Rattus norvegicus: one gene and its partners. The protein of the gene in region 3 purifies or fractionates together with the protein of the main gene of each other region. This does not show direct contact. Links are inferred from orthologs where the notes say so. Each region holds a gene or a part of one and is shown on either strand. Other genes may lie near its edges. The genes, in order: Cul7, Mycbp2 and Lgals3bp.

The links.
Region 1: the proteins of Lgals3bp (region 3) and Cul7 purify together in Homo sapiens (affinity purification with mass spectrometry; 3 studies listed by BioGRID and IntAct, with this or other methods). This does not show direct contact. The link is inferred for Rattus norvegicus from reciprocal best matches to the Homo sapiens genes LGALS3BP and CUL7.
Region 2: the proteins of Lgals3bp (region 3) and Mycbp2 purify together in Homo sapiens (co-immunoprecipitation; 3 studies listed by BioGRID and IntAct, counting the BioPlex papers as one, with this or other methods). This does not show direct contact. The link is inferred for Rattus norvegicus from reciprocal best matches to the Homo sapiens genes LGALS3BP and MYCBP2.

Annotation. Positions count from the first base shown.
Region 1 is NC_086027.1:21,824,196-21,835,063, forward strand, and holds the start of Cul7 (cullin 7), read right to left. Parts: upstream 6,150-10,868; 5' UTR 6,059-6,149; intron 5,342-6,058; 5' UTR 5,334-5,341; coding exon 4,763-5,333; intron 4,277-4,762; coding exon 4,125-4,276; intron 4,019-4,124; coding exon 3,545-4,018; intron 2,958-3,544; coding exon 2,822-2,957; intron 2,730-2,821; coding exon 2,533-2,729; intron 2,280-2,532; coding exon 2,036-2,279; intron 1,023-2,035; coding exon 785-1,022; intron 692-784; coding exon 586-691; intron 1-585. Other genes in the region: Mrpl2 (large ribosomal subunit protein uL2m precursor), read right to left, coding at 6,682-6,894, 7,495-7,568, 7,850-8,076, 8,170-8,311, 8,857-9,019, 10,284-10,379. UniProt on the Homo sapiens protein: Core component of the 3M and Cul7-RING(FBXW8) complexes, which mediate the ubiquitination and subsequent proteasomal degradation of target proteins. Core component of the 3M complex, a complex required to regulate microtubule dynamics and genome integrity.
Region 2 is NC_086033.1:86,372,502-86,383,269, forward strand, and holds part of Mycbp2 (E3 ubiquitin-protein ligase MYCBP2), read right to left. Parts: intron 10,633-10,768; coding exon 10,475-10,632; intron 9,795-10,474; coding exon of another isoform or gene 9,792-9,794; coding exon 9,595-9,791; intron 8,826-9,594; coding exon 8,676-8,825; intron 7,280-8,675; coding exon 7,119-7,279; intron 6,153-7,118; coding exon 5,996-6,152; intron 5,825-5,995; coding exon 5,600-5,824; intron 3,707-5,599; coding exon 3,641-3,706; intron 2,354-3,640; coding exon 2,114-2,353; intron 1,687-2,113; coding exon 1,597-1,686; coding exon of another isoform or gene 1,588-1,596; intron 1-1,587. UniProt on the Homo sapiens protein: Atypical E3 ubiquitin-protein ligase which specifically mediates ubiquitination of threonine and serine residues on target proteins, instead of ubiquitinating lysine residues.
Region 3 is NC_086028.1:104,120,917-104,131,784, forward strand, and holds the start of Lgals3bp (galectin-3-binding protein precursor), read right to left. Parts: upstream 6,933-10,868; 5' UTR 6,798-6,932; intron 5,090-6,797; 5' UTR 5,069-5,089; coding exon 5,017-5,068; intron 3,293-5,016; coding exon 3,101-3,292; intron 2,973-3,100; coding exon 2,841-2,972; intron 1,603-2,840; coding exon 1,350-1,602; intron 1-1,349.

The DNA of each region.
Region 1 (10,868 bases), on a different chromosome or scaffold from region 3:
ACATTTGACCCTTCTGAGGCCTCCTGTACCCAGGACCTCTTATAGAAAAGTCTGCTCCCTCACTCCCTCTCTGAAAAGATTTCGTAAAGTTATTTAAATCTTATGTGAGAGTATTTGCCTGCCATTACACCGTGTGTGCATGTGACTAGAAAGAGGTGTCTACCTCCTCCCTAGAACGAGTTACAGATGGTTGCGAGCTGTCCGGTGGGTGCTGAGAACTAAATCTGGGTCCTCTACAAGAGCAGCGAGGCTGCTCCCCTTCCTCCTGAAGGCCTGGCTGAAGCCCGCCGAGCTCATTTCTATACGCTTAAGGAAGCAGGGGACAGACTATAGATTAATACAGTGGGTTACCAGCAAGGACGCTCAGACAATGAGAATCAGGTAAGAGCCAGAATTCTCAAGGACTACCTTGTGCCATTTTGACTTGTGAACTTTTCTGAATATTACCTATTTAAAAAACATAAGATTTTCATTTTAAAGGCAAGAACACAAAGACTCTGTTGCATCCTCCAAGCCTCACCCGGGGGTCTGCCTCACTGGGGTCCTCCCACCGCCCAGCATCTCCCCAGAGTGGGACAGGGCTACCTCTCGGTCAGTATTGGGGGACCGAAGGCAGGTCATACAGGCATCCATGGCTTCATGCCAGGGAAGCAGCAGTGCCTCAGGGAAGTTCACCAGCTGCATCAAGATTCTAGGGGGAGAGACAGAAACGGGAAGGTAGAGAGATAATCAGGTTGGTGTGAGGCCTTCCTGTGCCCAGCCCTGCCCCTCACTGCTCTCCCACCTCAGCGCAGTCAGGTGCAGGGCCTTGTTGCTGGCTGGAGTGTCCAGACTCCGCATGAGTGTGAGGAAGGGCTGGGGCTCCTCCTGCAGCTGCAGCAGGCATGGCTTGACCTCATTTTCCTGGGGAGCCTCAGAGCTGAGGGCTCGCTCCAGGTCCACAAGGAGCTTCCCAGATGGGCCCAAGCCCTCCACCAGTTGCCGCAGGGCAGGGCTGGCACTCTGAGATGGGGGATCTTGGGCTGGAGGAACAAGAGTGGGGTAAGAATTGGCAGTACCTGTGTCAGGCAGCTCGTGACCCACTGCAACTCCAGCTCCAGCCATCTGACAGTCTCACTGGCCTACTTGGGGTATCTGCATTCACACGCACGAACCCACATACAGACACATAATTAGAAATAAAATCTTCTAGAAACAATAACTGAACACAGTGGTTCATGCCTGTGGTTCATACATATGGTGGAGACAGCAAGGACCAGGGCAGCAGGAGAACTTGCCCCCCCCCCCCCCCAAAAAAAAAAGAAGAAAAGAAAGAGAGATAGAGGAAAGAAAGGAGGAAGAAAAAGTGTGGCGGATGGGTCTACAGAGATGGGTCAAGATTAAGAACACTTGTTTTTCCAGAGGCTCCAGGTTCAATCGCCAGCATCCACTTGGCAGCTCACAACTAATTAGAACCTCAACTCCAGGAGAGCCGACGCCCTCTTCTGGCCTCTGTGGGCACTGCATGGACGTAATAGACACACAATACCCATACGAATAAAATAAAATAAAAATTTTTTTTTGGCTTGGTACTTTTTTTTTTTTGGTTCTTTTTTTCGGAGCTGGGGACCGAACCCAGGGCCTTGCGCTTCCTAGGCAAGCGCTCTACCACTGAGCTAAATCCCCAACCCCGGCTTGGTACTTTTGAGACAGGGTTTCTGTGTAGCCCTGGCTGTCCTGGAATTTGCTCTATAGAGCAGGCTGGCTTCAAACTCAGATATCTGTGTGGGCCACCACACTCAGCTAAAATAAAATCAATTTAAATAAAAGATAAATGACAGCTGAGGAACGACATCTGTAATTGTCTTCGGGTCTAGACACACAGGTACGCACGCGCGCGCACGCACACGCACTCACGTGGACGCACATATAAAGTTTCTGGGACTGTGGGTAGGGTATCTCTTTCAGACAGGACAGCACACTGTTAGAGGAGACCCCCCTGTGACGACACTCTCCCGAAGGCAGGTGTCTCTGCTGCTGTCTGCGGGACACTCACCTTCAGCGCCAGCCTCATCTTCAGAGTCCGTTTCGATCCGGAATAGGTTAAGCTGGTCATCTAGCACAAACGGGCGGTTTCGCTTCCCTACCAGGACTTCGGGGCCGTACTTCCGGTACACATAGCAGTTGAACAGGTCCCTCAAAGCGCTGTCATCAAGTTGTTGAGGCAGAGACAGCATCAGGTCCTGAGCCAACTCAACAGGTACAGTCAGCTCGGGCAGGATCTCAAAGTCCAGAACATGCTGTGGGAAGAAAGTCAGCCCGTAGCAGCTGAACGAGCAGATGGTGAGAGGTCCTCTGGGGGAATGGGGAATCTCCACACACATCCACCATTCTGAACCTCTGGTAGCTGACAGCCCACCAACACTTGCATCTTTGAACTTCCCAGACTCCTCCACTGTGGGCCCCTGATGCTATCTGACCTCCACGTCCCCTCCCGAGCTTTGCAAATGTTCCAGTCCAGACCTGTAGGGGGCGCCTCTGAGGAGTGCCTACCTCCCCCTCCAGGAACTCCTGAAGGAGCTCCACCACGTGCTGCCGTTCCTCTGCGTTTAACTTCTTGATGAAGAAGAAGAGCTCCCACCACTCGGCCTGGGTCAAGTGCTCTCTCTCTTCCCTGTCTTCCTCCTCGGGCACCACGTAAGGCTCGGCAAAGAGCTGAGCTATGGGCTTCCAGTGCTGGAATGGCGGGGCTGTGAAAACGGGGCGTGCCAACGGCCAAGTCACTGCCTGCCCAGGTAGGCCTCTGCTTCTCGGCTCAGAGCCAACCCCTCCCCGAGCTCACCTACACCCAGTCCTCCATGGACCATTGCCCCCTGGTCATCAATGTCAACCACATCCTCAATGTCTTCCTCAAAGCCCAAGATCTCAAGCATGTGCCAGTGTACCCAGTAGGTATGGCCTGTCGAATCCCACAACACCTGGAGGATTGGAGCGCGGGAAGAGGGAAGGAGAAGAGGATTTGCTATTAATCAGCTGAGGCCCAACGCTGGGGCTCATGGTCTATAAGGTGACCAAATAGCAACACTGGCTATAGAATATATAGAATGCATAGACGACAGTGTATATACAGACAGCCCCACCCTCTCTTCAGCAATGGCCTCTACTTCCTTTATTCTAGTTCTGTTTTTACTCTCTTTCAGACGGGGGTCCCAGACTGGCCTCAACATTGCTATGTGGTCACGGCTGGCCTTGAACTCCCATCTTCCTGTCTCTCTCTACCTCCCGAGTTCTGAGACTACAAACATGGCTACCACGCCTGGATCGTCTCTGTCTTTGATATTCAATGCTTCCATCTGGCCTCAAACAGCCATTGCCAAATTCGGATCTACCAGTTTCTTCTTGGGTCCGAACTTCCTTTAATCACATATCCCAAGGGTTCCATGTCCTTTCAACTGTTAATGCCTTTGCCCTTTGGATCTTAACTGAGCCTCTAGTACAGAACACCCAGGCATGCATGCCTTACCCAGAATAGAATTTCAGGGTCTCACTACTGTACAGCCTTTACCTGGACCGGAGGCATGCCGTCGTTGCTCTGTCGGAACTGGCCTTCGTCCCCAGCACTGATCTCCTCGAAATCCTCCAGCATCCGTACCCGCATCCCGGGCCGTAGCGTATCCCGCACATACAAGGCATAGGTGTTGACACTCGCAAATGCGGTGCGCGGGCGAAACCGCCTTGACCTCCTGAAACGCTGGGCACGGGGGCGGAAGAACTCTGTTGGCGGAGGCTGGAAAATGGGAGAGGAGCTCTCTGATCTGCTTGAGGCCCAGTCCCAGCGCATGGCTTGCACCAGCTCGGAGATCAGAGTGCCCATGGCCATACTGAATTCCAGTTCCACCCGGCCCCTCCCAGCATTCAACTCCTCTGGAATGAAGTTGTTCTGGGCATCTTGATCCTCTGCGTTGCCGTTCAGCCGATCCAGGAGGAAGGTGACACATAGGTAGCGTTTCACCAGGGAGAAGAGCAGCCGTCCTGGGACCTATAGAATATACCTTTGACCCTCACCCATCTCATCTTCTGCCCTCTTTCCGGAGCATCCTCTGTGGCAAATCCTCAGCTCCCACTACCCCATATTCCCAAAATACCTGTGGCAGCTGAACGCCCTCGAAGGACATCGGGTGTTCTGTGAGAGTAGCCTGGGCAAACAGTGCAAGCAGAGCGCAGCGGCTGTCAAAATCCAGGTGCTTTTCGATGGCCTCTTGTTGGCTCAGTGACAGAAGGATCTGGGTCCGGGTTCCTGAAACCCATACCTCCAATCAGAAACAACTCCCTAAGCCCAATCTTTCAGGCATCTCTCCTAGCTTTCTACTTACTACCAATCCTTTGCCAGAACTCATTGGGAATGACATATTTTGTTGATTTGCTTCAAGAGCCAAAGTTTACTATCACACATACACACCCAGACACCCAGACACACACACCCAGACACACACACCCAGACACACACACACACACACACACACACATTCTGCAACAGTCTAAGCTCTTCTTTTGCATAAAAGCTAATGGATTAATATGTTCTTGCTTATTCAATCTCCCCCACCTCCCCAATAAACATTCTCCCCCGCCCCCGCCCCCTCTTTTTTCTTCCAACTTAAAAGTGAATGACAACAGAACCATTACGTACTGATGCAGTCAGAAGGTCCTGTCACAGTGTCCTCTGAATCCCTGAGCCAACCCAGACCCTCTCCTGTTCTCCCTTCCTCCCCAACCTGCCCCTCACCAGCATCATGGGAGGACAGAGCTTGTATCATCCGGCCTGCGCTCCAGCGGATCTGATAATCAGGACTGCTCAACATGTGCATGACCAAGTCCAGAACTCTGCGATCTTTGAAGACGCCCGTGAGGGGTTCAATGCTGGCATAGGCACTGAGTACATGGACCGTGTGAAGGAGTGGGGCAGGAGGAACAGCGCCCACACACTCCTCCAGCTGCCGAAGGGCCCTCTGAATCAAGGACTTCACATCCGTTTCCATCTCCCCCAGCACAGATTTATCGAGGGCCCCAGCCTCTGCAGACTCCTGGGAAGGTCTGATGACTTGGCCATCCTCCCCCAGCATCTTGTGGCAGTTGGCATAGATCTCATCGTCAGTCATCCATAGCAGGATATGCTCAGCCTTGCAGTCCACTTGACTAGAGTCCCCATCATCTCCGCGCCTGAGGATGAGCCAGCGGATCTGATACTCAGGGTGCCCGTTATGGCCAACCCGTTGGCGGATCAATTCATCCGGATATGCGTGCAAGCCAGGCCCCAGGGGCACCCTGAATTCCCTGTAGCGGAGCTCCCCCACCATCCTGGCACCTGAGACACACAAGGAAGAGAGAAGAGGCAAGCTAGAGTGAGAGGGAGGTCAGAAAACAAGGGCATCCAGGAGTTGGAGGAGCAAATGCAGCAACAGCTGTTATGCTGGGTGGGGTAAAGTTGGGCCTGCTTCAGGCCGAGTGAGACCTGGACCGAAGAGAACACTGTGGAGTTTGTTATTCGAGAGCAAAATATTGGAGCTAAAAGGTCTCCAAGGCTTGTAGCCTTGAGTGGGTTTGGTTCTGGACAATGGGAAGGGCAGTGGTCTAGAGCAGTGTTGGGTTTACAAATGAAGCCCAAGATCCTGGGCCAGTAAAGGGAACTTAGGAAAATGGGTGTGTGGAGGCACAGGACTGTGTCAGAGGAGGGATGAAATCTCTAAATTGAAGCACTGGGTGGTCAGGCCCAAAGGAAAGGGCACAGAAATGGCCATCAGCAAAGCTGACAGGCTGGGAGAAGGGGAAGGAATGGAGACATCCATGCCAGAGCTGCGAGGCCGGGGAAAGGGTGCATCAGGGGTCCGATGGATAAGCGGCGCGAGGCTTGGTGGATGGGAATCAAGACCTGAGAAGGTCGGGAACGGGCGTGGTGGGATAGGATGGGGAGGTAGGCCCGATAAAGGAGAGTCCCAAAGCATGGTGGGGAAGGGGACGAGAGGCTCCGCGGGCGATCGGAAGCCCAGAAAAGGGGCAGGGGCCGCGGCGGGGCTCTGGCCACCTCAGAAGTCCACCGGGATCCTGGCGCGAGGCCTGTCCTTTGCAGAGATAGGGACGCGCTGCACACGATGGCGGCTGCTGCGCTGACGAGTGTTTGGGCCCCGCCTGGGCCCCCTGAAGGGGTCTAGGCGCAGAGGAGGGGGCGTGCCTGTGCAGGAGACAGGCGGGCAGAGGGCGTGGCCAGCAGGAGATTTCACGGCGCGCGCCTGCGCACTGCCTGCTGCAGGGTGGAGCCTAGTCCTGGCTAGGGCTTCGGGCGCTCCCAAGCTCCGCCGCCTGCATCAGCCACCGCTCGTTTCCGCCAGATTTAGCGGAAAGCTGGAGGCCCGGGGCTATCAGCGGGAGGAGTAGCGAGTGCCACCTGGACGACGCAGCCCTCCAGTTCCGCACCGCCCTTTCCTCTTCCTCTTAGTCCTCCTTCCTGTGCCGGAAGTGCCTTCCCATTTCCCAAAGCCAGAACTGGAAAAGACCTTGGAGGTCATTTCTAACCCCCTCCCCATCCGTTTTTTTCCATTCTCTTCCCTCTATCCTTGATTATTTCTCTACAGTCTGTACCGCGCCCTCCAAAACTGAAAAGGTAGTAACAGATAAAAACAAGGAACATTTTATTTGAGTCCAGGGGAATCAGCTTTGGGCAGCAGCGGAGGGCAGCTTCACGTAACTCTTCATGGGTGGCAGTGGCCGAATCTTCCGGCCGGCCCAGCCTCCCTTGCGTTGCCACAGCCCACTGTTAGGCCTCTTGCCTAGCCAGCGGTTCCGTCCTGCCTTGCCGATGACCCGCTGGTTATGATTAACGTTGGAAACCCGGCCTACAGTTGCAGTGCACGACTCCAGCACCTGACAAGAGAAGCAGACAAGAATGCACCGGTGGGAGCAAGAGCCTGGCAGGGCAGTGTTGGGAACACTACTCTAGGTGGCTTTTTACACTCAATAAGGGATGGAAAAAGGAGAAACACAAAACATTAGAATGTAAATGTGGGTCTGACAGAATGAATGAAAAGTTGAAGAAACACACACACACACACACACACACACACACACACACACACACACACACAACACTCCTGAATCTGTTTTTGTTTTTGTGGTTTTCTTTTGGAGTCAGGGTCCTGACTGTTCTGCATCCCTGCCTCTGGCTCTTGAGAGACGGGATTAAAAGCCAGTTCCAACCTGATGGTTCAACCCACACCTATCTTTTCCTGGAAAAGCCTAGGTAGCTTCTTTTGCCTCATCTGGAATGCTGGGATTACAGACATGTACCGCCATGCTTGGCTGGGAAAAGGCATTCCATTAAGGCACCGACCTGAGGAGGCCTGCTTACTCAGGAAGCGAAGACCAGAGCACACACAAATGGAACCTGGCACCATACACTTGGGAGATAGTGAGGTGCATTCCACAAACCCCCTCTGCTGACTCCTCCCATTTGTGGCCACACACCTGCATTTGCCTCTTCGAGGGCAGCTGGATAATGGCTGTTCCATTCACCTTCCGGAGCAGCACACCGCATGTCCCTGGGGAAGGGAGACATAGCTTTGCCACCCTCCACAAATCAGAGGGAGGTTGCCGTGGGGATCTTGGGTCACACGCTACCCTTACTTTGTCCTTTGGGGCACATGAAACACAGAAGACCATACACTATGATTTAGGATAAAGCAAGGCACATATTCGTCCTCTTACTGTTTGTTTTCTTCTGTCCTTGGAACAGATGTGGGCCTAAAGGGTTCACAGGAGTGATAGCAGGTACCCCTGGGTCTTCCCAACTGTGGGAAGAGGGCAGCGTTCGGGTCCATACCTGCAGCTCGGATATACTGGGCTCCTCGGCCAGGCTCGCTCTCTACATTGTTGATGAGGGTCCCCACAGGCAGCGCCCCAAGCGGATGTGCATCCCCTTCCTGAGCAGCCACTGCCATTCTGCCGATGTGGTTAGAGTTCAGGATTGTATCTCCTGCCTTCATGTTTTCTGTGGCAATGATCCAGCGTTTCCGGCTGCCCCCGGCAACCAGAGCTATGTCTGCAGACCTGTTCAGGATGACGGACAAAGCCCACGTTTTCTGAGAAGCTACAAAAGAGCAGTTCAGACCACACCATCATCACTTCCCACCCCAAACTTGCCTACAAGGATCGTAGCGGACTACCACAACCTTCTCCTCAAAGGGTTCTGGCTCGGTCCCCTTTTCTGGCCGGAACCGGAGAAAGTCAATCATTCGATAATTCTGCTTGTGGCCTCCACCAATACCATGCACTCGGATGCGGCCTAGAGTCAGGAGAGTTCAGGGCTGTGATTAAGGTTAGAAGAGCTCTCAACATTAACAGACCTTGCCTAGACTGGACAGTAGCACTCCCTCGATATTATATCACACACAGAAAAGTGACAAAGGGCTGGTGGTGTGGCTCAGCCATAGACAGCTTGCCTTATAAGGCCCCAAGTTTGAGCCATAGCATGTGGGTGTGTGGAGGCCAGGGCATCCTTGAAGAAGCACTGAGGTAACACTTGCATGGCTCAATACAAGTACGATTACTAAGATTGTATAAAACAAAAGTTTTCAGGTTATTGAATTCAGTAGACTTACTGGGAGGGATATAAATCGGACTCACACACACTTTAAACCGTTATGAATTTTGGGCACTTTGGTTGAGCTGGTTATATTTCTGTGTGGTCTGTTCTTCAGCTTCAACAGTGAGCCACACAGCAAAACGCACCTCACTGACATCTTACAAGCCACAGTACACTGCCTTAGACATCCAGGGCCCTAATGCAGTCTCCCCCCCACCCCGGATGCTCCCGGCCCTTTCTCCCACCTGTGTGGTCTCGACCCCCAGACTTCCTCATCTTCACTGGTTTAACTGTGTACTTGATACGACTCTTCCAGGACACAAACTTAGCGCTGCGGTCCGCAGACATATGCACTGGGCGGTGAGCGGGCAATGCCAGGGCAGAGGGCAGCTGAAGGAGGACATTGCTCTGTATTTCGGGATTAAAAAGAAAATCCTCTTTCAGAGAACCAAGGGAGAAAGCACACGGATCAAGTCTGGCTTGTAGGCTATTTCCTCCTCAAAGCATCTCAGACCACTGCCCTCAAATCTCTACCCTTCAACTTCCACAAATACCAGCGTAATGTGTTTATCCAGTTACTTGGTAACCATTTGGTAAACCTCTGAAATACTTCTCCGAGGAGATGTTTTTCCTTCATCAACTTCTAATTCGTTTCAAGTTCTTGCCCGGAAATAGAAACCTTTCCTTGCCTGAAGAATTCATTTTTCCAGAGCTGGTAAATTCCACACACCCATATACCACCATTAGCAGCAGTGACCTTTGCCCTCTGCACGTTTTCAGGAATTTTCAAATATGAATAAAAATAACTACTTTGCTTTTCCACTTGCTGTAGACCCAGTGTTAGGTTTAGTTTGGAATATCAAATATATATTTGCTAAATTTTGCCAAGCTTAGCCTGAGAAATGCTGAGAAGCAAGGTCAATAATTTCTTTTTTAAATAATTTTTTAAAGATTTATTTATTTGTATGAGTATACTGTAGTTGTCCTCAGACACACCAAAAGAGAGCATTGAATCCCATTACAGATGGTTGTGAGCCACCATGTGGTTGCTGGGATTTGAACTCAGGACCTCTGGAAGAACAGTCAATGCTCTTAACCACTGAGCCATCTCTCCAGACCCCAATAATTTCTTTTTTTCTGTGATTCACCATTGCCCACTTCAGACCCACTGGTTGACATTCCCTAATATCAGCCACAACCTATCCACACATTAAAATGGTTAAGAGCACTGGTTCTGGTGTGAGGTGTGTAGGTCAGAGGTAAAAGTGCACAGCATGAGCAAGGCTCTAGGTTTAATTTGAAGTACGAGAGCAAAAACAAAAGCAAGCTCTGAAGTCAGTCTGTCAAGTCCCAGAAGGTGTAAGACTTAGACTGTTGACCAGTGTTCTCATCTGCAAAATGTGCACAACTTTCAGGAGTTCCTTTAATTCAGTCCTCTATTCTGCTTGGTTTGCGGTTGGCACATTAATGTTACCATTGCAACCTGTTTAGTAAAGATTTGCAAAAGTACTTGGAAGCCAGTATCTCGCTGACGAATGGAGCTTTCGGAGAGAGCAGCATTTACAAACAGCAAAGGATGAAGGCAAGTTTACCCAAGGTCACGTGATCCCGACTAGCCTTGAGGGATCACTGACACCCCAGGCGGATTTTATTTCCCAGGTAAGCGGATTACCTGGCCAACAGGAAGCAGAGTCGGAACCCGGGCGGTAATGGCCGGGGATGCCAGGCTCAAGGAGCGCAGAGCACTAGCCAGCGCGCACAGGGCCATGGAATGGTCAGATTCCTCCGTACAGAACTCGCTTTTACCTTTACCCAGAGCCTGGTGCTCTTAAATGACGTTTCATTCGGGGTACCGTCGCTTTTCAATGACGTAAGAGAGGCGGGCACAGAAGTGCAGCGCCGTAAGATACAAGCTTTCTTTCCTCCCTAGAACAAGTTCTTAGCCAATCATTGGAAGGCACTGAGGTCACATGATGGAAGACAGTCCCCGCCCCTCAGAGCCGTCAAAACAATTGCCTCGAGCGGCAGCCATGATATATTTAAAGGAGCAGTACCCACGAAGGCGGCAGCGGGACCAGCAGACTGCAGGTGAGTCTTTGGGAGTACCCCTGGGGCTGAGAATTAAGATTACACTAACTCTTATTCCCACATTCTGGGACAAATGAGTAAGTCACTTCCTACTAACCACACAAAACTTCAGACTGACTCAAAAACTCCGCCCCCCGCGATTCTTCCCCGCCCCTCGGCGTCCAGACAG
Region 2 (10,768 bases), on a different chromosome or scaffold from region 3:
TAGATCAGAACCATCTGTAATGGATCCAATGCCTTCTTCTGGTGTCTGAAGAGAGTGACATGCACTCATATACATAAAATAAATAAATACATCTTTAAGAAAAAATAGAAAGGAGGTAGCCATAAAACTAAAAGCTATTTCTTCAAAACCACTGAGTTCAGTCTACATTACCCAAGAAGAGAAGGAAGACACAAATAGCCACCACAAGAAATAAAAGGTTTCACTATAACTTTTACAGTTATTAAAGATACTGATAGTACTATAAACAATTTATGCCAACAAGTTCTGAAGCCAAAGAGATTAACTAATAGAACTGTCAAGGCTTTCTCAGGAAGAAGTGAGTGAGTGAAGTTCTCCTGTAGTCAGCAAGGAGCCGCCCTGTACCATCTGAGGTAAACTATGCCCAGCTTTGTTCCAGGAGTTATTTTCACTGACTTGTGTCCACATCTTTCCTCACTTATTTTTCATTTTTAAACAAAACTATGTTGACATATGTGCAGTATCTCTCTTTGAACTGAGCAATTTCAATTGTTTTTGATATGATCACAGATATGTACACCTGAGTTAACTGGAGATCATTTTCCTCTCCTTAAAGATGTGCTTGTATCTAGCATCTTTTAATGTTACTGCTATATTATTATTACTATTATTATTATTATTATTATTATTATTGAAAAACAAACTACCTATACACCAATAACACACTGACTGAAGTTCATAGCAGTGATTATTCTACTGAATGACAGTTAAGCAATTAACAGAAGAGAAATATATAAGAATATCCATTCTGAAGTAAATGCTTAGCAGACTAGAGAAAAAGAAAAATCACCCTCAATCTCACTAATAGCATCTTTAAAAAACAAACAAAACAAACAAAGCATGAAAAGCCTTCCAATAACATCATGCTTTCTTTCTGGACCCAGAGCAAGGCAAGCGTCAGGCCTGCAGCTCTGCCCCACGTGACCCGCAGAGCCTCACCAGCAGGATCCGGTCCTCTGAGGTGTACTGTCCAGTCAGCAACTCTTTCAGACAACAGTCACAAAGCACTAGAGCACTTGTATCAGTAAAGTGTACTGCACATGTGTGTAAGGACGGCGTGGTGGGTTCAAATGCAAATCTGGTATGTATGAGCTCTTTGAGAAGCCATGGAAGAGAGCAGGCATGTGAGGATGAAGGTAAGATAAAAGAAACCACGAGGCAGAAGCAGAGAGACAGTGTGACCTCTAGCACAGGCAGAGCTGTTTTCTCTTTGGGGAAGTTGTAAACAAGTTTCCTCCTGTTTTCAGCTAGGCCACGGAGGAAAAAGGCACGGAGGAGGCAGAACTCAGCGATCGATCGCAAGGACGCCGGCAGAGCCCAGCAAGCCCCGCAGAGGGCTTCTACAGACGCAGCTTCCAGCCAGCTTAGGTACGGAGGTAAGCTGCTTGTCAGATAACTCTCTTATCTTCTTCCTAATGCCAGTCAAGAGTGAAAAGTCCACATGCAGCCACAAACCCACTAACATGTAAAGGAACCCAAGAGGTGGTTGTCTGACCAAAAGTAAGAAAATGAAAATGAGAAACAGAATTTTAGTCTACAAATAAATACATTGTATACTTTTTCCTCTCCTTCCGGTGATGACAGGAGCGCCTTTTCCTCTTGCTCTGGTGTAGGTTCAGCATCCCCAGAGATGAGCTTCCCAAACACCTGACAAGGAAGGTAGGCAGGTGAGAACCTCGATGATGGCACTACCCCTGCAAAGCTGGACGGCTATCTAATTCATTATTTTAATGAACTTTTTATCTTGAAGCAGGGTTTAACTCAGTAGCCTAGGCTGGCCTGGAACTCAAATGTAGTCCAGGCTGTCCTGAAGTTTGTGGCAATCCTTGTCTTAGCCTCTAGAGTGCCAGGCCAATGGCCTCATGCCCCACACTGAGCCAGATTCTGAAGGGTTCCTTGTAATACAGCATCTCTGTCCATCGCACGATTACTACCGCTCTGAAACTGCAAATCTACATTAGACATTGGTAATGGACTAAACGAAGTGAACATGGGCTGTACTTGAAACTAGAAACTTATAATCAAATACCTGCCACCCTCTGAAAACACGGCCAGTTGCGCTGCAGTGGCTCACCTGAGAGGTGATGAGTCTGAACACCCGCAGGGTCTCGGCCTCGCAGCTCCTCTGCTGAGCCACACTGGCTGAGATCTGGCCAGCAATCTTTGTGCTTTCACCGTCTTTCCAACCCAGGACTTTTACTTGTCGAACTCTTAATGTATTTTCTGGGCCCTTTAACTCAATTTTGATGATGTGATTATCCCCTCCAGGGAGTTCACTTGTTACCCAGCCAATGTGCCTGGAATCCAAGTCGACCTGGTGGAGCAGAGAAAAGACAGGACCTTGATCCAGCAGAATCACTTTATCGCGGCTCTGGTCCTAGCATCAGTAACCGAAGGCTCAAATAAACAAGTGCACAGACGGTAAAGATCGTCAGGGTGTTCCTGTTATCTTACTTAAGTTAAGGGCAAGCAGTAGTATCTACAGGAGCCAGAACAAAGAAGAAAGCGAGGTTAACCCAGGTTGAGAGAGTTTCAGGAGGTGGTGGGGCTGAGAAGTGATACAGGCCTGACTGCCACATGGTTTCCCTGGGTAAATTCTGAGGAAACTATTACAGAGTTTACACGATTCCCTACACTGGCTTTCAGTAGAAACAACGTAAGTAACAAGGTGCTGTTTTATGCATCCTTACATTAAGTACCACAAAAGAAAATGGCATTTTCATTGTGTTGATATTTCAGATGTGTGTTTGTATATCAAGGACTGGATGTCAATTCATAGAAAAATGGGTTTTGACACTACTTTGCCAATGAAATTAAAATTATTCTCATTCTATTTGATGACCAAAAAGGAACCTGCAGCCTTCTAGATGACTGATTTAGACATTTGTTACTTTAACTATAATGTCAATACTTCCACAAAGAGAATATAAGTGTGAAAATCAAAACAAAACAAAACTTTTAGAATAATTTTCCTAGATTCTTTAGCATTTAAATATTTTTCATCTTAACTTTCAGTATAAATGGCGAAAAGAAAAAATTCAAAGAAATGTACTGACTTTTGCATTACAAAGTAAACCTAGAAGCAAAGCTCTGATAAGGTTATAGTTATGTAAGTTCCTGAGTTTGTGCATAATCTCAAGCCTGTGCCCAGATAGGCTTCATTTCTACAATTGTTTTGTAAACTGATTTATAACAGATAGAACTGCTGAAGTAAAAGCCATGGCTGTATTTTACTTGATTTTGTTTAGGCTAACAATCAATTCTAATGTAGGTGTTGGTAAATGAAGTTTCTGGCTGTGAATCAGTGACATTAAAGGCACTCAAGTCTTCGTAGAACAATGAGGGATTGCAGACTGTAGGCTTGTGACTGAGGGCATTTAAAGAAATATAAATACATACAATATCCAATAAAAAATAAAAATTCAAAGTGTATAAAAAAGAAATAATAAAGAGCTATCTAGCATTGGGATGTAGTTCTTGGCCACAAATTAGTTTCAATTTACTGTTCTGTGAATAAATGATTTCTTATGCTATCTTGGTAGTATGGCAAAACCGAAAATCAACAGTGAAAGCTGAGAAGAAAAACTGGCATTTCAATTACCTGCTTTATTCTGCACAAATCTTCTACTGCTTTACCAGTCAGGAAGGTCATCGAGGTAACTTTATTCTATAACAGAAATTCAAAACAGTTACACGGTGTTTCTTCAGGGAACATGTACATATACACTTATGCTTTACAGCCTCAGATGCCGTGCTATAGTGTCAACGTCCTCACAGACCGCATACCACTTGTCCAGCCAACCACAGGGCCTGCAGTGCCGTCATCTCTTACATTTTAGCCTCTGTGTGACTTCTCAGTTTACTTTCCCAGCTTTAAACAAATTCCAAACCTTCAAATTTTGTATCTTCATGTAGTGACTGACAATTCTGCTCGGCCGAGTCCCTGTTTCTGAAGCACATGAAAGGAAGGTTCCTTAACTAACAGCTACTGTGTGCGTCATCGAACTGTGTGGCTGCGGAAGAGAACATCGTGTAAGGTGCCTTCTATCCCTGCAAAGGGCTCAGCAAACCTGGGAAGGCAACGCTCACGGGAAATGAACATCAGCCAACACTACCAGTGTGGCGTCTCAGTGCAGGAGGCCAGTCACCCCGGCACTAGGGTTCAGTAGTTTTATGCTAAGCACATCAAAAAAATGTACTAGCATCTTGAGCTGTTTATTATGAATAGTAACTCAAAATAACAAATGCTATGGATAAGGCTCACTGTGGGTAGTTGGGAGGCGAAGCAATGTATTTGCTCAAGGATATCTCTTAAAAGGAAAGCAGATGTTATGTGAAGAGTTTTTGGATTCTACAATAAATATTGTCACAAAGTATATCAACTTAACAAATATAGACATTAAATTTGATTATAACAATCATTGTGAGGAGGATGCCCTGGTGAAAAATGTATTGAGTCAAAGATGAGTTTGTAGTCAGCAGTAAAACCTAGCCAGCAAAGTTCTAACTTTTTCTTGTAAGATGAACTTTCTGTTTATAAAAGGAAATAAGCTCATGAGGTGCTAGCTTATGCCCCGTGTCCTTATCTGGCCCCAGGGAAGCACTGAATCTGCACTGCTGCACAAAAGCTGGGGTCTGGGGAGGACGGCAGATGATTGTACCTGGATGGAAGAGGGGACTCATGTGCTTAGCTTTACTTCCAGGTTATTTGAGACAAAATCCCCCTCCTTCCCTCCCTCCCTGCCTCCCTCCTTCCCTCCCTCCCTGCCTCCCTCCCTTCCTCCCTCCCTTCCTCCCTCCCTTCCTCCCTCCCTCTCTTCTTTCTTTCTTTCTAGGCAAAATCAATATGCAATGGATGGGTTTAGCCCAGCAGTGGCTCATGGGAGTCCACTAAAACCATCTGCTGAAAAGCCTCGTCTACTCTGAAGCAAAATTCAAAGAAGTATTCTTCCCCAAGACTAAGGGCAGAAGAATCAGTCTGGCGGCCGATGCTATTTTCCAGCTCAAGTAATAGGATTCTTTTCTTTTCTTTGGTGCCTTTTATGGAAGAATGTTTTAATTCAGATGAAACACTTTATTAGAGAGATTAGGCTGGAGGAACTGTAAATCATGAATATTTAAATGAGTTCAGGGACTGTCCACCTCTAACTCTAAGGACTGAGGGTATGAAGCAGAAGCCAGAAACTGATTATACTGTGGGCCAAGGTGTATTAGGCACAATTAGAGTGCTACAAACAGAACAGAGTAGCCAAGAACCCAGTGGAGGGAAGAGTAAGTTCTCTCCCCGGAGTTACAATCCAAAGAGGGCTTCTCTGCTGAGTTTGGGGATTGTGGGATCACATTTTATAGATTTTAATCTTGTTCAGCTGTAGCCAAGGTACATTTGTGATCAGACCATTTTTTAGAATTTATAGTCCATAGTGTTTCTAGTCATATAAATCTGTTCTTAGAGTTAGGATTTATTTGAAGATTATAAAAATGTTTGGTTGGAGAAGTCCCCAAAACTTAAACCTCTTAGTTTAAAAGAAACAGTGAGCCAGAAATTAAGTTCTCTTCTTACCCCAAGATCCCGGGAATTGTCCACATGAACAGATACATAACGGGCATTAATTCCCTTCACACAGTTGATAGTGATGGTTTTAGTTTTATTTTTATCTTCATCTCCTGATTCCCAAAAGGTTTCTGTGGAGCCATCTGTCAAACTGCCAATCATGGCAGGTCGACTTGATGTTTTTATGTCAACGATACTGGTCAAGTCCTTTAAGCACATAACTATGCATAACTCCTACAAAGAGAAATGTAAACAGTCATAGTGTTAAAAATGCAATCTTTTGTGTGGGAAGAGTAAGCATTCAATAGTAAACACTGTAATCAAACTGTGTATGACTCACAGTTTGTCTTTTACCACACTTACCACCACTAGCTGCTACAACAGACATGTAAGTCGGCCACTGACCTGGTTCATGGCTTCAAAGCCAGACTGGATACTGATGCTGAAGCTCTCCTCACTGTCTCCGTCGTCTGACTTCGACAAGATGTTGTTGATATGATGGAAGACATTGCTCTGATGGAGGAACTGGTGGTCAGACTGCTTGAACTTAAGGCTCCAGCATCTAAAAGTATAAACAACAGACAAAATAATTATTTTCTAGGATTGCCTATGAGTTCTCAGAAAAGCTACTACACAAAAGATTACTTTTGTAAAATACATTGAAAATTTCTAGAGGAGGATGAAATTATATATATATATATATATATATATATATATATATATATATGTATGTATGTATACACACACACATACACACACATATTTATTTTGAGAAATAAAGGTAATTTAACAAGGTCAAAAGAAAATCTATTTTAAATACACACACACACACACACACATACACATATAAAGGAGCTATGGAGGTCAAGGCCACACAAGCAGAAATGAATCTGTTCTAAGGATAAGCATTATAGCAACTGCAATAGCTTTGCTAATTTCTGTGTGATAATGATTTAATGATTTTTGGGGGTATAACATTTTTTACCCTCCTATGAAGATTACAAAAACTATGTTTTCTATTGGCCTTATCATTAGGGATGTAGGAAACCTAATCTGTCCCATAAGCTTGTTATATACACCATGGAGGATTTATTTGTCTATAGTTCACTGACTCAATTAAAAATACAGTTCATAATGTAATGCCAAATTCTCAACACATTCCAAATTAAGATGACGTGATACTGTATTTCTTAAAATTGGAAGCACATAACTAGAATCTGGAATTTACTTTCAAGCCCCTCCCAACTTTGTTTTGGTTTCTGAGATTTTATTTTCATTCTCTTTGCTGGTCACAGTGAAACAGGAGCAGGAAAGGTGAACAAGATGGTTTCACCAACAGTCTGGGAACTAAGAAGGGCAAACAGATACCAGCCAGACAGAAAAAGGTTCTAATTTAGGACAGAAGAGGGCAGTCACCATTTCCTCAATTTAGGGATTCTTTGCATCTTGCCATTTAAACATTTTTTCAAGTATTCAGCACTTTGCATAGTCCATAAATTTCTATTGGAACACTTTGGTGAAAAATTACCTTAGGGCCATTTGCTGCAAGGAACTGCCACTAGGGAGCGACATCATGAGGTCGGAGATGGTCTGAAGTAAGCGGTGAAAGGTGTGTGGCAAAGGGTGAGCAGCCTCGCCTGCAATCACGATGTCTGACAGCGGGTGCTCACACACCCTTGTGTCCTTCTCCTGCGGGAAATTGGAAAGGAGTTTATCAGTTGGAAGAAATGTTTAAAAAATAGTCATATAACTATAACTTGTAAAATTTCTAATGTATTTGTAACATTTCTAGAGAAAACTATAAAGTAAATTACAGGTAAAAAGAGCAAACAAATGAATATCACCTATACACATCAATTTTACACTTACATGTCACTAGAAGACTGCATACAGATGTAGATACATGTATCTGCATGCACATAAATTCATATTCAAATAGACATATTTTATGTAGATGTTTATATATTAAAAGCAATGCATGTTTAGGAGTTGGGGTCCTCGTAGTTCATAGGACTTTTTATGTACAGTAGGCAATTTACAACATGACCATGACTTATTACCTATGTACACAAAACTCAATATTCTGGTCAATGGAATTTCTTTGAATGGAAACAGTGCAGTTTCCTCATCAGTCTACCTCAAAACAATCATTTTGTCTGTTTTAACAAGCTCTGCTATGAAGCGCATCTTCACATAATAGGAAAGCTCACAGAAGTGTAGTAACGAAATAATTTTTCATGTGAATGTGTATAGGTTTTGCCACATTTTTCTCTAAGAGGTGTTTACTACACAGCATATATGAACTTCTTTGTTTTCCCATTCTGTTGCTAATGGGCGCTTATCAACATTCTGAATTATGTCAATGAGCTAAGTAAAACACAGCATGCTACTGCTTCTTGCTTTGTATGCCTACCAGAGTAAGAACATCAGATGAGTTCTAGTTTACATTATCGTTCACTAAAGCATATTACATTTCATTAGGTCAAGGTGCCCACGTGGTAGACTGGTTATTTCCGACTTCGATTTACATTTGAGAGCTACATTCCCTGATAAGGGCTACACATTATTTCTTTGGCCACCACATTCACCCCATTTACTGCTAGGCTAGAAAGGAGAGCGTTCCAGCTCTAGACTCTCTATGTACACGTGATGCTGACTGCAATACTGCAGGACATCTGCTCGCTTGTTGTGTGACAATGGCACTCAATGAGAAACCAGTTGTGTTAGCATCTTTGCCACATAAAAAACTTTTACTAAGTAGGCTAACATTTGTCCATACTATCATTGTTGGTTTTTTTCAAGCCAAATCATCTGTCAATTATTTCATGTAAAACATTCTACTCGGGTCCTATAAAATATGTAACTATGGCCATATAGCCATGCACACACAGGAAACACCATGTGGACCCTGGCTGCTATCAGCAATGACAAGGAACAGAAGAAGTGGAGGGGCTGCCCGAGGGGCAGCTGGGGGTAGGAGTGGTGGATGGTGTGACTGGCATATATTGTATAAACTTGTAAGACTGTCAAAGAATAAAATATGTAATTAAAAAGGGAAAGCACGGAAGAGGAGGAGAAAACCCACTTGCTCTGCATTTTCTTTACTGGATTTATTATCTTCATCCTCGTCTTCCTCTGCCTCTACAGGAGAAGGAGTCAGTGCTGCCACAAAGTGCCAGAGAATGTCATGCAGAGACGTTGTTTGGATGACATTACAGAGAAGCCAGTTGAATGCCTGAGTAAAGCGAAGCATAAAATAAGGGGAAAATGCGAATCACAATACATAGGGGTTTATTGCTGTTATTATTTAAAATTATTATTTAAAGATAAACATGTTAAATAGAAAATGAGGCCTTTGTTTCACTGAAAAACCCTCAATTTAAAATAGTCAATTCTGGTGTTAATAAAAAAAAAAGAGCAACAAGGAAATATTGTTTACAAAATACAATGAAAATTCCTTTTTAAGTCAGCATTTTTCCTAACCAGCATTTAAAACTAATACAGAATTTTCCAAGTATTATACAAATAGCCATTTACTTAACTATATCATTTACAACATTAAATGTAACAAATTATTTACCACATTCTTGTTAAAAAAGAAGAAACATTTACTATCTGTAGGTCTAGCAAAGGCTTCGTCCCTACTCCAGAAAACAGAGGCCTGGATAAGCTACTACTGTAAATATCTAACTCAGAAGCCCAGTCACCTTCTTTGCATGATGTCATTTTATTCTAGTGAAATGTCCTGAACACAAAAAGGTTTAAGAGACAAACTCATATTCAAGTAATAAGCTTGTATAAAAATAGAGATTTAGCATACTTAAATGTAAAGTTCCAAATTAATTTGTTCGTAAACTTTATTAGTTTGATGTGAACACTTTTTTCCCATTAGGCACATGGCTTTAATTTGATGTAATTTATTTTAAAAAAAAAAAGTGTCGCTAATTAGAATTACTGTGTCTTTGTGTAATACATGGATAGTAATTTTATCAAAGTATCCATACCTCCATAGCAAACACACGGCAAGCCGACTTCCTTAAGGCCTGCTTCATTGCGATTTCCAGCCCTTCTAAATCATGATGCTGTATGACGAAAGCTAAGACTGGCCACTGGAAGTTTCGCTCTCCTTTGGAGAGAGAGCTGTGGGCTGATATAAGCCGGGAAAGCTCCGGTGACGGATGTCGCAAGAGAGAAGACCCAACTTCTGAAAAGAAAAAAAAATTAGTAATCTTCATAGATAGTATACAATTAGTGTGTTAAATACTGAAAATATCTAGCGTATTCACTTTAAAACTTTTTGTTTTTGCACGTGACATAAATCATAACAATTTCAATTAGTGTTAAGGAAGCAACTGTCTTACTTAGAACTACACAGAGTATGATGAACAGGTAGGTTTTGAAGGAAAAACTGAATCTCAGTTCATACTTCCTGCAGCATTGTTAAAGCTAAGTAGCTTGTATTATGTCCATACATTCCTACAAGGCTGAGTAAAAGTATGTTATGAATATATGTAAAGTGTGGAAAAAGATGGCTAGTTAGAATTGTCAACAGACGCAATCTCTGGGAAGGGAGTGTCAATGAGGACTGGTCTGGATTAGGTTGGCATTAAGGGTATTCCTGGAGAGATTTTCTTAATTGGCTTAATTTCACTGGGAAGACCTATCCTGATTACTGGCTGAGCCTAGCAGTGAACGTAAAGGAGAGAGAGCCCTGAGCACTAGCACGCACGGACTGATCAACAGTCTGCTGATGTGATGTGACCAGCCTAATTAGTCGTGAGCCAAGTAAACCCTTCTCCATTTTCTCCATTCTTCTGCAAGGAAAACAATTTTCTTTGTTTGTTTGTCCGACAGTTTCATCATTCAACCTGCCATTATGCCTACCCGTGTCTCCACTGTTCACTCTCCTTCTAGGGATGGCTTTAACTCGTGCAGGTAAAATGGAGTGTTGTTTATCATATTCCGAAGCGACAACTGAGTATGACCTCTGGAAGACAGTTCTCTTAGCCAGGTCGGTGTCAGTTATCGGGCTCGTTTCCAAACTGCGCATGCGGAAAGAACAGAGGTAAACACTTATGAGAACCAGGGGCGTGGGGTGCAGTGACACTTCTTCTGAGGCAGTGAGTCAGATGTGTGATTCCGTGTGGGCTCCATGGGCACGAATACACGTGCTGCACA
Region 3 (10,868 bases):
TGCCAGTATTGTTCTCATAAATGTCATGTTCCTTTATAGAAAGCACCAAGCCGTAAGAGCGAAAGAGAATACTTCTAATAAATGTTCCGCTTTTAAACCACTGCTTTCAAAATGAAAGTCTGAGAAGTTCTGGGTTGGGGGATCAGAAACTTTTTTTTTTTCTTTTCTATTTTTCGGAGCTGGGGACCGAACCCAGGGCCTTGCACTTGCTAGGCAAGAGCTGTACCACTGAGCTAAATCCCCAACCCCGATCAGAAACTTCTTAAAACAGCGTGTGGTGATTTGGAGAGGATGTTTAGAGTCATATAGTGAAAAGGGCATGTATTTGCATGCATTGAATGTGGGTGAGAGTGCATGTGTGCACACCACTTTAGTGTGCATGGGATGTATGTGTGCACACCACTTCCGTGTGCGTGGGATGCTTGTGAGTGAGAACAGTGTGGTGGTTTGATCGAGTATGTTCCCGAAGGCTCAAATAGCTGAGTGTTTAGTCACTGGAGAGTGGGTCTGTTTGAGAGGATTAGAAGGATTAGGAAGTGTGGCCTTGTTGAAGGAAGTGTGTCACTGGGGGGTGGGCTTTGAGGTTTCAAAGCCCCAGTCTTTCTCTGCCTGTGGATCAGGATGTAAAGCTCTTGGCTACTGCTCTAGGACCTGCCTGTCTGCTGCCGTGCTCCCTGCCACGATGACAATGGACTCAAATTCTGAAGCTTAAGCAAGCCCTCAAATAAATACTTTCATTTGAAGAGTTGTCTTGGTCACGGTGTTACTTCATAGTGACAGAACAGTGACTACGACAAGAAGACACATAGGCACATGTAAAAGGAAGGGTCAGATGGATGCACATGTGTTTAAGCAAGTGCAGAAAACATATGGATTCATGATTGTGTGTGTGTGTGTGTGTGTGTGTGTGTGTGTGCATTCATGTGCATGCAGAAGTAGTAATTGAGTATTCAGATGTTTGAGTGTTCCATGCTCCCATGCAAGTATGGGAAACATTTGGATGCATAAGTGTGTGTGTGCATGTGGACGCTTGCATGTGTGCACATGCATGTGCATATGCATATATGGATGCAGAGGTAGTGATGTCTGACTGTTTCATGCTTCCATGAAAAGGCAGGGAACATTCAGATGTGTGCCCGTGTGATTCTGAAGATAGATGTGAGAATTTGTGACCCTTTGTCTGCAAGGGCAGACGTGTGCAGCATGAAGAAGTGCGCATGTGGCTGTGTGATATGTGAGTGTGTGGGACAGACCTGCTACCTTGTGGCTCCAACCTAGCATAGTGGGTGCTCTGGAGGTAAGGAGGAGCGTGCAGCCCAGGTACTCCCAGAGCTGAAAGCTTGGCTTACCTGAGGAAGTCTCTGACGACAGGCATGCACTCAGCGTCCACTCTCATGATGACACTGCTGCCCACCACTTGCCACAGGGCCTGGGCCTCGGGGTTGGTGCGCAGGATCAGTGTGTGGGCACAGAGGCTCAGGTCCCCATGTCCCTGCCCTGTCACCTGGATGAACAGGTCGCAGTCCTGCTGGCTGTCAAAGATCTGGCCCAGCGCATCTGGGAGCTCTCCAGAGAGGTCTAGGATGTGAATGCCCCTGGAATCTGGGATGGACAGAGGCTGTGTAAGGACATGGCCTTTGTGGATCATTTTCTCTGTGACTTTAAGTTCCATTAGACCCCCAGGAGTCAGGGTCCTCATCTGAACCAGACATCCTGGTACCTGCCTCTGCTCAGAGGGCTTGTGGGAAGATGCAGGATGGGACAGGCCTGAAGGGAGGCTGCAGATGCTTTCTGAACTGCACAAAACAGCAGCTGGCCCTGCTGTGCCCTGCTGTACTCAGAGGCTGGCTCCTTGTACCACACACTCAGGCACTTCCTCTAGAGGAGTCACCCACCCTGAGGCTGTGCCCATCCTTCGCAAGCCCCCAGTGACTGCAGAGGCCACCCCCCTATGCCCAGTGAAAAACCTGATAAGTTAGGGTCCCATTGCAATCCTACATTAAAACTTGAGGGTTCCCAGTCCCAAGGGGAACAAGTCCTGAAGGGTCTCTGGCATATCTCAGGGCATCCCCACCTTCCCCTGCCTCCCAGACCCTAATCCAGAACTGCATACCACACCGTGTGTTGCTCTATACGGGCGTGGCATTTGGAGTGCGTGGGCTGGCTCCTTGTGTCTCCTCACACCACAGCCCCAGTGCCCCCTAGCTTCTACCTCTGGTGTCCGTTTCATGCTGTTCCCCAGTCAGTGGGGCCTTCCACATGCCTACACAGCTTATTCACACTCATGAGGCTCCCCCAGTCTGAGATCCTCCACCTCAGATCAACCTGTACCCAAGCCTGTCTGACCTTGTGGGATTCAATACCCCCAGGCCTCAGTTCTCCAACTCAGGACAGAGAGGCATGTCCCAGGAACAAAACTGCCCTGCCCCCCCACCCCCACCCCCCAGGAGGAAGCCACAGACGGTAGCCAGGAAGCAACACTCCCACTGGGCCTCAGGCACTGGAGATGAAGACTTTTGATGGAGTCGGTTAGTGTCCTTGAACATAGCCACCGAGAATCACTTCAGCGCCATCACACACAACCTGTGCGGAGGGGTGCTGTGCAATGTGTCAGAGCAAGTAGTAGCCGTAAGACACCGGCCCTTAGAGAGCCAACCCTCCAGCACAGTGCCATTTGTACTTGGAATACAGTCCCTTGCCCGTAATCTAGCCCTGCTAGAGAAGCTTCTCTGGCGTTAAAGTAACACGGGGGGCTCTCTTGGAGGACGCGTGCTCCCAGCCACAACCACAGTGCCACTTGCAACTTTGTTTACACGGGGGTGGGGGGCAGGGCAGCTCACCGTTGGAGCAGACCACGCCCGCGTCCTTCTCATGCCCGCAGTGGCTCACCATCCAGCCCAGGGAGCTGCAATTGGCCAGTGACGACTCGTTCCCTGTGCATTCCACCTCATCCAGCATGATTGGTCCCTTTCCTGTGGGCACAAAAGGAAAGCCAGGAGCCGCTTGGAGTAGGAACCGGACCTTTGGCGGGGACTGGGGCTGCTCACTGGGGCGCGGGAGGGGATGCCTGAGGAGCACTACTCAGGGACCTCAGCCACACCTGGCCCGAAGGCGGCTCTGCTCAGTGCTTGAGTAGCATTCTCATAGCCCAGGGCCCGGCAGACGACGTGGGCATCCAAAAGGTTCCAGAGGTTGTCGCACACTGTCCCCCACCGGCCTCTGTAGAAGATCTCCACGCGGCCCTCACTGGCTGAGGCCCCATTAACCAGGCGCATGTCTCCATCCTTTGCACCTGTCAGGAGAGTGGAGATTAGCTGGGAGGAGGGCTAGCCTGGTCTGATGCCCACTCCCCGTGTACTCAATGCTCTGTGTGCTCTCTCGTTGAGCAAAGGTCACCCCAAACAGGGTGGAGTGGCCTTCTGGAGATGCCTTGAACCACTTCAAGGGGCCCTCCCCGCACGTGCATTCGTGTGTGTGTGTGTGTGTGTGTGTGTGTGTGTGTAAGGTTACCCACTGAAGGGCTGGAGAGATGGCTCAGTGGTTAAGAGCTCCGACTGCTCTTCCAGAGGTCCTGAGTTCAGTTTCCAGCAACCACATGGTGGCTCACAACCATTTGTAATGGGATCAGAAACCTTCTTCTGGTGTGTCTGAAGACAGCTACAGTGTACTCACATACATAAAAACAAATAAAAAAAATCTTTAAAAAAAAAGGGGGGGGGCTGGAGAGATGGCTCAGAGGTTAAGAGCACTGACTGCTCTTCCAGAGGTCCTGAGTTCAATCCCCAGCAACCACATGGTGGCTCACAACCATCTGTAATGGAATCTGATGCCCTCTGCTGGTGTGTCTGAAGACAGCTACAGAGTACTTATATATAGTAAATAAAGAAATAAATCTTTAAAAAAAAAAAGGGGGGGGGTTGGGGATTTAGCTCAGTGGTAGAGCGCTTGCCTAGGAAGCATAAGGCCCTGGGTTCGGTCCCCAGCTCCGAAAAAAAAGAACCAAAAAAAAAAAAAAAAAGTTACCCACTGAAGAAGAGTGAAAACTCTGATGAGCCCACAGAGGCCATGGTCTATCTAGCTCTCATCTCTGGGTCTTTTTCTCCAAGAGGACACCTTGGCTCTCAGCCTACTGAGTGAACTTGGGGGGGGGGGGAGAGGCTCTTTCCTGGCTCTCTGAAACGCTGGTATGAAGGGGAAGGTGGGTCCTGGGTTCCTAGACACAGGCAGAGAGCAGATTAACCTCGGCTTACGATGGGTGATGTCTTGACACCCCAGTGCCACCTGTCTCATGGCCTCTGGACTGTCCCCACTCAGCAACAGGACATTGCCATGCTGCCTGCTCCCTCCAAAGTGTGGGGACGAGGGAGCTGTGGTGTGGGGTCCCATTGTAAGAGAGGAGCGGGGTGCACAGCGCTGATATCCCAACTCGCACATACAGTTGCTACCTCATCCCTACAGTGTCTGCCTAGAGGGGACAACACTGGACTAGAGACAGTCTGCCCTCAGGCACAGGTAGCCAAGGGAGTCCTGCTCCCTGCTCTCTGGGACTCCCGTCTCTGTCCATGCCGGCTGGGTGCTTGAATTGGGGTCACCCATGCTAGAGCGAGATACTCAGCTGAGGGTCCAGGATGGGCAAGGCTTTCAGACCCATGGTGCAGTTTGTAAACTGTTCCACAGGGACTCTCTGGCATTCTAGCCTGTGACCTGAGAGCTCAAACTCCAGGACAACACAGGCTGCACTCTCCCTCCTTGGCCCACTGATGAGGTGAAAAAAGATTCCTTGGTCTCTTCTCCAACACCTGCATTTCGGGGAGGGGGCAGGGCCCATACAGGGCCACCATTCAGAATGACTGAGGATCCACATGGCAGAGAATCCTAAGACATGGTGTCTTACAGGATGCCACCTGGCTTTTCTGCAAAGATGGGGAGGGGGTGTGTGTGTGACCCACACAGAACAAGGCACCAAGGCGCACGGTCTTGACTTCTGTTTTGGACCTTTCGCTGAGCAGGACTCACCTTGAGTCCCTGGAACCAGCAAGAACACAGAGAGGAGCCACAGAAGAGCCATTGCCTGACCTGGAAGCCCAACCTGCAGCAGAAGGAACAACAAAGTTAGACTGGCCACAGCTCTCCGGAGGAGACTGGTAGTTCCATGGTCCCCTGTCAAGTTTGTGGAGGACAGGATGGTGTTGTGGGTGGTCCCTCTTCCGTAAGGCCCAGATGGCCATGAGATGACCCTTATGCAGGCCTCTCTCTCACATGCTCTATGGGACAACCTTCAGGACAGTAAGTCTCCCCAGATGAGGCAGGTGGGTTGAGGGCTCCTGGCAACGAGAACCCAGGAAATAGACAAGAGGCTATCCCTCAACGGTTGGTCTTATCTTCAGGCAGCAGCCCCCTTCGGGGTGTGCCCCAAAGGGACAAGATATGCCAGTCTGGGAGGGTGTTGTGGATGAGGTTGGAGCAGGGAACTCTCAGGAGGAAGTGACAGAGACAGTTGCAGAGGTCATGGCGTGATCTGGGGATGAGTGGGAGATGGGTCAGGGTCAACTGCCAAGGTGCTGACACACAGGGACTCAATACTAAGACTCTCTCGCCTGTCTGTAGAATGGGCCCCACCCAGGCACTTTCTCTCGGGCCCTGCATGAAGGGGGCTGACCTAGAGAGCAAAGTGCAGCAGCCCTGGTAGACTCATTCTAGTCCCGAGGGCAGTGAGGTCGGGGCTGGTAGTGGACGGTGCTGTAGAGCTCTGTCTCCTGGGCAGGAACTCAGCAACGAATCTCAAACTGTTTTGTTACTCAGACCAGGGGCCCAGAGACCAGCAGTAGAGGTTATCCCAGGATCAGTAGAAACACCAGGATTGTCCTCCACCCCAGACATTCTGTACCAGAGCAGCACGAGCAAGACCTCAGTGATCCAGGGCTCTTGTAGCCATCTTGGCAAGGGTGAAGATAGTCTAAGACAAACTCGTGCCCTTCCCTTCGGTTATCGTACTACTGAAGCAAGGACAGAACTGGAATTCCCCCTGGGAGTCTCATGCTGAAAGGAGAAAGCTGTTGCCTGGTGACAGCCGGAGGGGAAGCTTGTCTCCAGGAAATATCAGCCCAGTCTGGGATTTACAGCCCAGGCATAGGGCAGACCAGTTAGCTATACATTCCTCTATGTAAACCTCATGTTAATATCCCCTATAGACTCTGGGATGTTAATGGGGGAAGGCCACTGGACTCTTCTCAGTGTGGCTGGCGGAGTCTGGCTACCAGGGGAGCATTCTCACTATAGGCTCTGACCGCTGAACTCTATAACTCGATGATGGGTGGGAAGCTTGATCCTTAGTGCTGTGCACCCAGTCTTATCCCAAGGAGGTCTGGGTTCCGGGAAACCTGAGTCCCAGGCAAAGTGCCCTGGGTGCCCACCCCCTCCATTTACTATAAGCTGTGGTTATAGGGTTTGTCCATGCTGGGTCAGGAACTTTAGGCCTTGGGAACATTGCAGGGTATGTGGACATTTTTGTCCACTGGATGACAGGGGCTGTTTCTGCCTGACTCCTTTGTGTGGGAACTTGGGATGTGCCTGCCTATGCTGGCTCATTCAGTACCACTGTGTAGGTCTGTTTAGTCCTGGGTGAGAATCCACAGACCCAGGAGAAGGCCGAGGGATGAACTGTACCCCACTCACCCCTTCAGTTGTTCTTTCAGTGAACATCCTGCCTAACTGTTTAGAGGCTCTGCAGGTCTAGGTGTTCCTGTGTTCTGCGACCCCCCCCCCCAGAAATTATGCTGTGTAGAGCGGGGACTCACCTGGGAGCAAGAGACAGGTAGTCAGTCACCTGTCCAGGCAGCTGCTGCAGATGGTCCTGGAGCCTCCTTGCTGGCTGCAGCTCGAAGCTTTCTGTAGACTGTTCAGCTGAGAAAGGCCCCACCATGTGGTTTTCCTCAGCCTCTTCCCCGGAAATGCTTTATAAACCTAGTCTAGTTTCGATTTCCAGAAAACACATGACGGAGGCTGCCTCTGGGGTTGGCTGCAGACAAGGCTAATAGCCCTCTGCTTGCTGCTCTGCAGGGAGGATGGCAAGCACCCAAGTGCCCTGTGCTGAGCTGATAAAACAACAATGTTGCGGCTGAACAGATACATGTCCAGGCTGGCCAGGCAGGCACCCTGGGAGGGCAGCTTGGAAGGGGATGGAACAGATATATCCCCTTGCTGGCCTGGTAAGCACAGTGGGGGGCAACTTGTCCAGGCTGGCCAGGCAGGCACCCCGGTGGATGGTGAGAAGATGCTGCAAATGGGCCGGGGAGCAGAGGCTCAGGTCACACAGTGTCTGTGAACATGGATGTGGGCTGCACAATCCTTTCCTGGATCTGGGGAGGCTGGCTGTGCTCACTGCACAAACCTTCCGTGCTCAGAGCATGCTCGGAGGGAAGGTATGTGGGCCACAGAGTGGTCCTGAGGGATGGGAATCGAGATAGAAAACAGGAAGCAGGGCTAGGAGCTAGGGGTGGCTTGCTGGTTAAGAGCATTGCCTACTCTCTCGGGGGATCTGAGTTCAATTCCTGGCACCCATGTTGGTTGGCTTGGAACAGGCTTTAAGTGAACTCCATGGGATCAGACTTTGTAGGCACACACATACACCCAAGTGTGCTCATGCATGCACACACGCAGTGCACATACGTTTAAAATTTAAATCTTAAGAGGTTTCTTTAATACCTGTGGTGGCAAACACCTTCAACTGGGAGGCAGAGGTAGGTGGATCTTTGATAGTTAGAAACTAGTCTGGTTTGCGTTGTAAGTTCTAGGTTAGTCAGAGCTACGCAAAGAAAGCCTGCCTCGAAGGAAGAAAAGGAGAAAAACAAACAAACAAAAAACCCAAAACAACAACAACAACAACAAAACTAACAACAACAGAGATGGTAACCTGCAGCCAGCCAATCTTGACACTGTGAGTTTGATCCCTGGAACTCACTGCAGGAGAAAACTGACTCCTGTAAGCTGTCTTCTGATCTCTGTATGTCTACCATAGCCTGTATGTGCATGCACGTGGACACACACAGTAAATAAATGTGAAAAATTATATAAAATTCAAAGAGGACTGGGAGGTTGCTCAGTGGTTAGGAACACTTGTTCTTCTTGCAAAGAACCCAGGTTCCCTTAGGAACTCCCACATGGTTGCACACAATCACCATAACTCCAGTTCTAAGGGATACAACGCCCTCTCCTGATCTCCATGGTCACCAGGCACATATGTGGTGCACACACATCCATGCAGACAAAACTTCCAAATATATAAAATACATTAAAATTAACCTTATGATAGGTTTATACAGTGACCTAAATCCCAACAGCTCCCTGTGGCTCCCCCAGCTGCCAGCCCCATAAGGTTTACTACCTCAAGACACTCAACTCTTGAATGCTATTCAAAACGTCCGACACAAATGACCCAGGAGGCAAAGTCAGGTGACTTCAAATTGGTATAAAATCACCCTGTTCCTTTCTGATGTATGGTTCAGGAATTTACCTGCTGTGTTTCTGTCCTTGGTGTCTACTTTTTTTTTTTTTAAGGATTCATTTATTTTATGTGTGTGAGCATTTTGCCTGCAGGCAAACACACCATGTACATGTGTGCCATACACCTGTGCGTATGGTGGCCAGGGTATCAGGTTTCCTGGAGTTGGAGTTACAGACGGTTGTGAGCCGCCATGTGGGTGCTGGGAATTATACCTGGCTTCTGTGCAAGGAGTATTCCTTATCAGTTGAGCCATCTCTCCAGCACCACCTCCCAAGTGTCCTTTATTAAAACTTCTACATCAATTCTGGTCTGGCAAATCCTTTTATCCTGTGCTTTGAGCTCTTTGTCCCAGGTATGACACCAGGGAGGGAGGCCCCGAGGTCCTCTAAACCCAGATAGTAACTTGTGAGTGGATACACTGGGGTTCCATACACACCTGACTCGATAATGCGATCTCCCTCCCAATGGCCCCAGGGACCCTTTAGGGTTCAGACCACCACAGGCTCTGCCTGGCTTACACCCATTCCCCTTCCTCCACAAAGACAGACAGACAAACAAACAAACAAACAAACAAACAAACAAACAAAAAAGCAAAAGACCGGGTCTTGGTTTCTACTCGGGGAGTCCTCAGTCAGTGCAGCTCAACCTGGGCTGGCCATCTGGTGTTCAAAAGGCCCAGGGAGTTCTGGGGTAAAGCCCTTTTGGGTTCAGCAAAAGGCTTTTGGCCTCAGAGTTCAGGGGTTGGACACTCAAGGACTGGCTCCCTTGGATGTGAAGTTTCCATTGGCTATGGGGTCATTCAGTCCTGGGAAAACCACGCAGAGAGCTACAGGCAGGGATCAGCCTGACTCTGCAGATGTCCAAGCTTGTTGAACCGGGGGCTAACTTGTGGCTTCTGTCACCTTTGGCTGAGAGTGTGAGAGGGAGAGTGGAGGTGTACCCTGGAGAAGAGAAGTGGGGGGGACAGTCAGCCTACCTGGACTGCCTGCCTGGTGGCTCCAGGAATCAACAAGTCTCTTTGGTGCCTCCATCCTGGGGCAGGCCCATTAATCACCTGGAGCCCGGGACCTAGGCTTCTCCTGGGGGAAAGGATGCCAAGTTACAGAGGCTGTCACAGGGTGTGTAGTCTGTGGCAGGCCCAGTTGCTCTATGGTTCTCGGCCTTCCTAATGCTGTGACCCTTTAATACAGTTCTTCATGTGGTGGTGACCCCCACCATAAATAATCTCATGGCTACTTCTTCACTGTAATTCTGCTACTGTTGGGAATGGCAGTGCAAGGATCTGATGTGCAACCTCAAAGGGGTCATGACCCACAGGTTGGGATCTGTGATGGTTTGTTTGTATAAGCTCGGCCCAGAGAGTGGCACTATTAGAAGGTGTGGCCCTGTTGGAGTGGGTGTGTCACTGTGGGCATGAGATTTAAGACCCTCATCCTAGCTGCCTGTAGGTCAGTCTTCTCCTGGCAGCCTTCGGATGGAGATGTAGAACTCTCAGCTCCTCCTGCACCATGCCTGCCTGGATGCTGCCATGCTCCCACCTTGATGATAATGGACTGAACCTCTGAACCTGTAAGTCAGCCCCAATTAAATGTTGTCCTTACCAGAGCCTCCTTAGTCATGGTGTCTGTTCACAGCAGTAAAACCAAAATTAAGAAAGAAGTTGGTACCAGGGACTGAAGCATTGCTGTGATTGGCCTGACCATGCTGGGTTTTTGTTTGTTTGTTTGTTTGTTTGTTTTTAAGAATGTGTATTTGGAAGGGTTGGGGATTTAGCTCAGTGGTAAAGCGCTTGCCTAGCAAATGCAAGGCCCTGGGTTCGGTCCCCAGCTCCGAAAAATAGAAAAAAAAAAAAAAAAGAATGTGTATTTGGGGGCTTTGGATTTGGAAAGCAGTGGAATGCTTTAAGTGGAGCTTAATGGGCTAACCTAGTAAGAATATGGAAGACTTTGTTGCTGGGAGTAATTTGAACCGTGCAGACCTGGCTCAAGAGGTTTCAGAAGGGGGCTGGAGTGATGGCTCAGTGGTTAAGAGCACTGACTGCTCTTCCAGAGGACCTGAGTTCAATTCCCAGCAACCACAAGGTGGCTCACAACCATCTGTAATGGATTCTGGTGTATCTGAAGACAACTACAGTGTACTCATATACATTATATAAATAAAATATTAAAAAAAAGAGGTTTCAGAAGAGAAGAATTTTAATATGTGGCCTAGAAACTGTTCTTGTGATATCTGGGTGAAGAATCTGGGTGCTTTTTGCCCTCATAAGAAGAGTCTATCTGAGGCTAAGGTGAAGAGATTTATATTAATTACATCGATGAAGGAAAAAAGCCCAGCAGAGACTTTGTTCTCTGGTTCAGTCTCATAC